2 linked regions of the Caenorhabditis elegans genome follow. The protein of the gene in region 2 purifies or fractionates together with the protein of the main gene of each other region. This does not show direct contact. Each region holds a gene or a part of one and is shown on either strand. Other genes may lie near its edges.

Region 1 (4,051 bases), on a different chromosome or scaffold from region 2:
AAGTCCACGTGGTGTCAGAGTGTCTCATTTCGGCTTGAACTACGGAGATCTACAAAAAAATGCGGGAGAAGAGACACAGAGTTCTCAACTGATTTTGCATGGTTAAGAACGTGCTGAGTCACTTTTTTTTTGAAGACAAATTCCCGCATTTTTGTAGATCAAACAGTAATGGCCTGGCATCACGTGCAAATCGACTCTTCCCGCGCCCCGCCCCCTAGGTAATAACACACTGAAACCTCACTCTCTGACCACTGCACTCATTTTTGAGAACTTTAAATTGAAGTTACTTTTAATAAAAAATTTTAAACTGATGTTTGAAAGAATATTGAGATAACTAAAAACTGAGTCAAACATGTAGTGTTTTAGAAAAATATTTTTTTCTTAAAGACATTTATTTTTTCTGAAACTCTTCAAAACTTGAATTATTATACGTGTCTGAAAATATTAGCGGACTTCCGAAACTTTTTTAGTGTGTAGACTAATTGATAGTCTGAAAATTATTTAAAAATTGATGTAACTCTCAAAAATTAACAACAAAAAAGCGAATCGATCTAAAAAAAAGTTTATTAGCGCCGACAAATTTCAATTAAATTCAAAATCAAAAAACAAATATAGATGAAGACAGTGAAAATATAAATTTTATTTCAAGCAAATGGAAGCATGAAGCGCGACTGGCTTGTGAGGACCAACAAACTTCTCTTCAGCAACAAGACCATAGTACAGTCCAGATGCACAGAAAGAATCCTGAAAATATAACGATGCAGCAAAAAAAAAAACAAGCTGATAACTTACGTGCTTGAAAAGTTCATTCATCCGATCGTTATACAAAATTCTGTCACTCCATGCTGGGCAAAGAGTCCTCTGAAACTCTTCTTTCCCACTGTCGTTAAGCTCGTAATGACGAGAAGGCTGAAAGCTGAAGACTAGGCAAACTCAAAGTTTTCAGATCAAACCTGGAAGAAGCATGTCTCCTCTTTCAAATTTCCTTTGAATGCAATATTAGCCAATTCTCCATTATATCTTTTAACCATTTGTCCTCTTCCCAATCGGAAGAACCAATCATGAATTGAATGTAGATCAAATCGAGTTCTCTCAACAGTGGTTGTTCTTCTTCCATGCCGATCAACGTGCTCAATTGATTCAACATTTCCATCTTCATCTTTCTTTGCAACAGTTTGAACCAATTGAGTTTTTGCCAAATAATTCAAAAGATCAGTTTCATGGAGTTGAGAATTGAAGGATCCAGCGACAAGGATTGCATCGTTTCGAAGACCTTCTTCATCCAATCTGAAATTCTTGTTCATTCAAACGTTTATTAATAGCTAAATATAATTACTCTTTTAAAAGCATTTCAATTTGTTGTTCCCTTTTTGATGCTGCTTTTGTAATACTGGAATTCTTTGTTGCAATCTCATTTACATCTTCGAATGGAACAGAGTGCAGATTTAGATTAACAAATGTTAACTCTTTTCCGTGAATTCGAAATCTGGCTAATAGAAATCCAGTTCTTTGATTTGCCAAATCACGAGTTCCATCATCATTCTGAAACAGGGTTTTTTAATTGAAAATACTAATTTTAAAGTTAGAAATACTTACATAAAAATCTCTTCTAAAAGTGTAGTTTTGTCCAAATGTATTCTGAATGAATCCATCACATTCATTGGAACCTGAAATTTTTTGGAAACAAGATCACATGTTTTTGTACATTTAGGGGAATTTAAGAATAGAGTAGTTCAAAATGACTAACCTGTCAAGGTACAAAATTTACTAGAACATGAAATAAATTTACGAAATGTAAATACCTTTGTTACGTTATCAGAGTACACGAAAATCCCAAAAAAAAAAACTAACCAATTGAATGTTGATGCCCAGAACGAACATTAATGTACCCAGTTGAAGAAAATCTATCGTAGTACTGTATATCTGAGTGATTCTTGAAAAGATACAGGTTTCCAAGACCCTGAACTTATTTAATGAATTTCCAAATATTTTTAAAAGTGTAACATACAGTTAATTTGGTATCAAAAAATGCCATAGAGCTATCAAAAGCTCTGTAGATTTCTGGATTATCAGTGATGCTGGAAATATTTTTAGTCATAAACTCTCTCAAATTTTCAAGAAAAAAATTCTTACCATCCACAAATAACTCTTGCAGCATAATCTGGATTTTCAGCCGAGTGAAGACCTTGAACGTGGACAACAGCAAATTCACACTTTTGCTCATAAATTTCCTTGGCCACTTCGGAGCACCAGGCTCGGATCAGGTCATCCTGAAAATATATTTTTAATTTGATGCATCAAATCTTAAATAATCACATTTAAAATTAAATTACTAGAATTCATATCTTGTTTTAAAAAAAAGTAAACATACATCAGTTCCTATTCTGGAAATGTCCCCAGTGATTGCAACTTGCTTGATGTACTCGGGCATTCTGAAAATTAAGTTTTGTTTTAAAATTTCAATTATAAAAATAAATAAAAAGCGGAAATGAAAAACAGGTCAAGAGAACGAACAAGAATAGTTCCAAATAAATATGATGGAACATCAGACAGAACGGGTGGCACAGAAAAAAGAGAGTATTCAAATTAAAAATTACAATTTAAAAAGAATTTCCATTTTCAATTTCAAATTTCAATTTGAAACCATCCAAATAAAAAGATCCTTGCATTTCCTTTTATGAGGCGATGAAGGATGGGAGTGAAGTAGGGTGTGGTTGGAGAAATGAGGCAAATTGTTTGTTATAGTTAGGAAATGTTCAAAAATCTTGAGAAATTGAAATTAAACAGGTTGAAACTGTTCATAATCAATCTAAAAAACTAAAAAATAATATTTTAAATTTGAATCTGATACAAGAATTTTTCAATTCACTCAAAAATTACGGAGATGTGAGCTGCCAAAAATAAATATTCTTGATAAATAACTTGGGCATTATAAAATTTAATTGACTTCCGTCAATTAAATTTTTAAGTAACTCTTAAGTAATTACTGCAACTTATTACAAAATATATGAGTTGATTTCTAAAGCTTTTAATCTTTATAAACTTTAGTTTGAAAGTTCGAACACGTATACCAACAAACTGAAACATGTTTAACTTGAATAAGCGTATTGATACATTTTTTTAAATCAGTTAAAAGTACCAGGGTTAGGCCTAGTCTTTTGTAAATTCCACAACCAATAGTTAGTGTAATCCAGAAAAAAGTGAACGAAAATTTCGAGAACAAGAAGAAAAATGGTAGAAGAAACCCGATGACTGTATGTCTCTATGTCTATTTGCAAACAGTTTTTTCTCAATTTTCTCATTGATTCTCTGTCTCTAATTCTATGAACATTGCGCGGGCGGACGTAGAAAAAATGGATAGAAGAAGGCAACGCCCTTTTCTTTAAATCTCTTATTCTTATACACTATTTTCTCATCACCGTTCCCTATTTCGTAATCTTTTTCTCTTTTTTAGGTCTTCTCTCAGTAAAACATATGTCGGCACAGAGATGATGATGACGGCTGGGAGACTTCTAATCAATGAGATTTTGGAGTGAATCATTCTGCAAATTGTTTCGAGCATTTCTACAGGTTTTAATCCATATGATGCTTGAGTACAAATTATTAAAACATGATCAAAATATGAAACTAGATTTTGTTTTGACCAACTTCCAAAATTTTAAAATTTTCTGAATAGAATAAATTAAAAAAATTTCCAATGACGCCCACCATCAAACTTACTAAAAAATCTATTAAAACTGAAACCCTGTGAGTCATCTAACACTTTAAAATTGTTGCAAACTTCCAAACACCACGAGAATTTAAAATCGAACTAGTTATTTTACTTCTTCTTTTTCTGTCCCAACAGAAATAAACCATCAACCTTGCAACACTGAATAAAAACTGCATCAACAATTGATAGAACAGGTTGAGGGAAAGATATCAATAATTAAACTAATAGTTAACCCATTTCAAAAATAAATATCGTGGGAGTAATTGTGTATTTTTACTGTTGACAAATGGGATTAAAATGGAAAATCTTTTTGAGGAAGTTCTCGACTTTTACTCCGCC
Region 2 (4,658 bases):
CAACAACGGGCGGAGAAGATGAGGAAATCGAAAAAAAAAACGCAAGGGATGTTCACTGCGCGGGGCGCACGGAAATTGCGTGCGCAACGATGAGACGCAGCGCACACAGAAGTGCGCGACTTGCCGTTTCGTTCCACCACAGCGGCCGCATATAAGCACTCGGGGGCAACGGCAAATGACTGTGTAGGCTTCTTCTTCTTATTCTTTTGACACTTCTGACATTTTTCATTTCCCTTCTTCACCTTTGATTCTTTGTTCGAATATTCTAGAAAATTCATAGAATTTCAGATGGACGAGAAGAGCAAGGGATCGTTGCGAAGTGTGGCGTTCGTCGCCGTCACATTCTCCACAGTCGCAGTGACTGCTGTGCTTATCGCTTTCCCATTGGTATTCCACTATGTGCAGACCCTTCAAGCTTCCGTACAAGGAGAGGTTGAGTACTGCAAGTCCCGATCTCGGGATATGTGGCGTGAGATGGTCGAGGTTGCACCGGAAGGTGCTGATGATCCACTTGATGTTCTGCTCAGAGCTACACGTCAAGCTGATGCTCAATGCTGCACATGCCAACAGGGACCACCAGGACCAGATGGAGAGCCAGGAACTCCTGGAAAAGACGGAGAACCAGGTCAAGGACCAGGAGAGCCAGGACCACCAGGACCTGATGCCGAGCTTCATGATCGAATTCTCCCGGTTCCACCACAATGCCCATGCACTGCTGCTCCAGGACTTGGAGGACCACCAGGACCACCAGGACAAGATGGAATTCCAGGTAACCCGGGAAGAAACGGAGAGGATGGAGCTCCAGGACCACAAGGACCATCCGGACCACCGGGACCACCTGGGCAACCAGGACAGCCTGGACAACGCGGACCACCAGGAGAGCCTGGAGCACTTCTTCCAGGAGGAGACGCTCCACCAGGCCCATCCGGACCACCAGGACGGCCAGGAGCACCAGGACAGCCAGGAAAGGCCGGATCTCCAGGACAAGACGGAAGCAACGGAGACGCCGGAGTTGCTGGAGAGCCAGGTAAATTATCATGATAAGCTAGGCTTCTTCTTCTTCTTCTAAACGTTAAATTTGTTTCAGGACAACGCGGACCACCAGGACCACCAGGACAAGCCGGAACTCCAGGATCGCCAGGAGACGCCGGATCTCCAGGATCGTGCGAGCACTGCCCACCAGCACGTCTTGCTCCAGGATATTAGAAGCTTATGCGAGTCTGTCTGTACATTTTCGAATAAACTATATTATTTTTTCAATCGATATGTCGTAGTTGTCCATTTAATAAAAAAAAGGGTGAAGAGGCTTGTGAAGCACGGTGAGCTCAGGTATCGCCAGGAACCTCTGGAAAGAGAACTAGGTCAAGAACCAGGAGAGCACCGTGAGCTTCTGTTGGAGGTATTGGGGGAGCACAGGAGAGCCTGGAGTGCTTCTTCCAGAAGGAGACACTCCAGCAAACCCAACTAGGCCATCAAGACGGACAGGAGGCTCACGGCATCCTGGAAAGGGCAGATCTCCAGGACAAGACGGAAGAAGTTGAGACGTCGGAGCACGTGGTGCCAGGCTGCCCCGTTTTGGTTTGATCTACCGAGATCTACAAAAAATGCGGGAGTCGAGACGAAGAATTTTCAGCTGACGTCACATTTTTTGGGGAAAAAATTGCCGCATTTTTTGTAGGTCAAACCGTAATGGGACAGCGGACAGACACCACGTACGGAGTTGCTGGAGAGCAGGGTGAGCCAAAGATTTCGTTTAAAAATCCAGAATGACGAGCTTTTTATTGGACGATCTTCTGAATATGTTCAGCCAGGAACCTCTGGAAAGACGGACTTCCAGGTGCTGGGAAGAAGGACGGAGCTTCAGGATCACAAGGATCATCCGGACCATCGGCAGAGCCTGGAGCACTTCTCCCAGGAGGAGGGCAAGCCGAATACCAGGATTGTGCGAGCACTGCCCACCAGCGAGCTCAGGGACCGCCAGGAACCATAGAAAAGTCGGAGAATCAGGTGATCCAGGATCACCAGGACGAGCTTCGTGATTGAACTCTCCCGATTCCGCCATAATGCCCGTGAGCTTCTGGACCACAGGAGAGCCTGGAGAACTTCTTCCAGAAGGAAACGCTCCAGCAAGCCCACCAGGACATCCGGGAAAGAGCAGATCTCCAGGACAAGACGGAAGCAATTGAGACGCCGGAGTTCGATCTTCTGAACAGGATCCGCCAGGAACCTCTGGAAAGACGGAATTCCAGGTACCGGGAAGAAGGTCGGAGCTTCAGGATCACAAGGATCATTCGGACCATCGGCAGAGCCAGGTACTCCGAGTAGAAGCTTGGTCAGATCGACAATGCGGATCACAAGGACAAGCCGAATCCGAGAATCCTGCGAGAACTGTCCACCATATCATTTTCCAACATACCCGCACATTTTCCAATAAACTATTACCTTTTTCAAAACTATATCAAGTGAAAGCCCATCCATATACTCCATACAAATTGATATATCGTTATTGTCCACAAAAGCCCCGTAGAATCCAACAATGAATGGACTATTGCACTTGTGAAGTACGGCGAGCTCTTTGACGATCTGTTGTCGGACTGACGGCTTGATCTCGAGGTGTACAAGCTTCCGAGCCATAATTACACCGGTTTTTCGATGAACACACTGAAAAATTGAACTTTTTATTTCCAAATTCCAGCTTATTTCAGCAAATTCCAACCTTATTAACAACTCCTCCATTTCCATGGCCAAGTTCTCCTTCAGTCTGTAGCATATCCTCACTCAACTCCTTGATGCCCTCCTTGACCTGCAAGAATTCGCTGAGCCGTTGAGTTTGTGGCTCCGTGAGCCCGAGCTTTTTCAGCTGTTCTTCTAGTGGGACTGTCGCGGTGGCTTCTTCCTGGAAATTTATATTTTTTAAATTCAATATTTAAAAATTAAAAATAATTTTAAATTATTACCGCCGTCGCCTCGCCACTTTCACTTTGTTCATTTACTGTCGGTGGTAGACTGAGTCCCAACGGATTACGCCGTTTTCCGCTCGACATTATCTGGAAAATAGTTGGATTTTATTTTAATCGAGAGGTTTTTTTTAGAAAAAAAACGAGGAAAATTCCAAGAAAACTTATGAAAAACTGGGGAAAATGGGAAAATTTAGCGATTTTTGGAGTCTAATTCAGAAAATACTCAGAACTATTTAATTTTCTAAAAATTAGTCAGGAAATATTAAAAATATTTAGTTTCTTTGGTAATTTTAACTGAAAGCAGAGTTTTTTTTCAGAAATCAAAGGTGGAGTACCGAAATTTGAGACTTTGTTTTTTTAGACGCAAGTTGGTCCAAAACTACCGAATTTCGTAATGAAACATTCTGAAAATTTCTCAAAAAAAAGTTATGACGGTCCAAAGTTCGGCAAAATAAGGCCAACTTTCAGCTAAAATCAAAATTTTTTCCAACTTCTCGGTGTCGCAACGTCTGGAACCTAATTTTTATTTATTCATCACTTTTTAATAAATATTGTGGTCTTTGATTGGGCGTTTATTCGTTGTTTTAAGCATATTTCTGGCCTTTGGGGCACAAATAAAAGTTACATTTTGTGCCCACTGACCATAAATGTACTTAAAACAACGAATAAAAGCCTAATAAAAGACCGCAATATTTATTAAAAAGTGATAAATAAATAAAAATTGGGTTCCAGACGTTGGGCCTTAATTTTGTGGGCCTTAATTTGCCGAACTTTGAACCGCCATAACTTTTTTTTGAGAAATTTTCGAAACGTTTCATTACGAAATTCGGTAGTTTTGGACCAATTTGGGTCTAAAAAAGCAAAGATTCGAATTTCGGTACTTCACCTTTAAAGAGGGTTTTCACTTAAATATACTCAGAATGACCTAAAATTACATATTTTTAAAAAATTCCAAAACTGTTTTTTGGCGTGTTTTTGAAGCAAAAATTGCTAAAATCCTACATTTTGTCAACTTTTCCTTGTCGCAGTGTTTTTTCAATGCTTGAGACCATTTTTGGGTGGCAAAAAGCCAAAAATTCTAAAAAAATGAAGATAATTCAATGAAAACTGGATTTTTAGCCGCTGATTTTAGCAAATTTTGGTTTTTTTTTTTCGAATTTTGATTCGCCATACACATTTTGGAATTTTTTCGAGCTATTTCGAGCCAATTTGAGTGAAAACCTATACAATTATAAATTTCCACGTGATTTTAGCCGTCTGAAAAAAGGGAAAATAAAAAAAATTTCGCGATTAATTTCTTCCGAAACAACTAGTTTTCTCTGAAATCGAGGCAAAAACGTGATGAATTGATTGATGAATATAACCTGTCGTGAAGTGGCGATTTTTGAGAACAGGTGAAAAAAAAGCACGGCTCTCTAGCTTATTGACTGCTTTTCCGGACTGCGAGAGCTCGGTCAAGCGAGAAGAAAAGAGAAGAAGGCGATGAGAGATGCGGGGAGCCGCTGCTGGAGCAAGAAAAAAGAGAGCAGAAAAAGCGCCTAAATAATTAAAAATTTAATCGAAATTGAGGAGGAGAGGAAATTTGAGAGGGGGATGACGGCTCTTTTGTTGCTTTTTTCTTCGAGAAAATGTGATTTTTATTGAGATTTCAGTGGATCCGTGCCAAAAACGGGGATTTTTGACCTGCTAATCGGATAA

The links. The genes of interacting proteins can lie anywhere in the genome.
Region 1: the proteins of mek-2 (region 2) and C01B10.3 fractionate together in Caenorhabditis elegans (co-fractionation; one large-scale study listed by BioGRID). This does not show direct contact.

What each region holds. Positions count from the first base shown.
Region 1 is NC_003282.8:6,618,921-6,622,971, forward strand, and holds C01B10.3 (Endonuclease/exonuclease/phosphatase family protein), read right to left. Parts: upstream 2,433-4,051; 5' UTR 2,432-2,432; coding exon 2,372-2,431; intron 2,271-2,371; coding exon 2,134-2,270; intron 2,079-2,133; coding exon 2,009-2,078; intron 1,961-2,008; coding exon 1,852-1,960; intron 1,668-1,851; coding exon 1,597-1,667; intron 1,543-1,596; coding exon 1,337-1,542; intron 1,288-1,336; coding exon 954-1,287; intron 910-953; coding exon 793-909; intron 745-792; coding exon 640-744; 3' UTR 548-639; downstream 1-547.
Region 2 is NC_003279.8:3,010,402-3,015,059, forward strand, and holds the start of mek-2 (Dual specificity mitogen-activated protein kinase kinase mek-2), read right to left. Parts: upstream 3,048-4,658; 5' UTR 3,045-3,047; coding exon 2,958-3,044; intron 2,897-2,957; coding exon 2,717-2,896; intron 2,662-2,716; coding exon 2,443-2,661; intron 1,265-2,442; exon of another isoform or gene 1,207-1,264; coding exon of another isoform or gene 1,088-1,206; intron 1,028-1,087; coding exon of another isoform or gene 289-1,027; exon of another isoform or gene 283-288; intron 218-282; exon of another isoform or gene 92-217; intron 1-91. Other genes in the region: col-48 (Nematode cuticle collagen N-terminal domain-containing protein), read left to right, coding at 289-1,027, 1,088-1,206. UniProt on the Caenorhabditis elegans protein: Functions in the let-60 Ras signaling pathway; acts downstream of lin-45 raf kinase, but before the sur-1/mpk-1 gene product in controlling vulval cell differentiation. Required for progression of developing oocytes through the pachytene stage.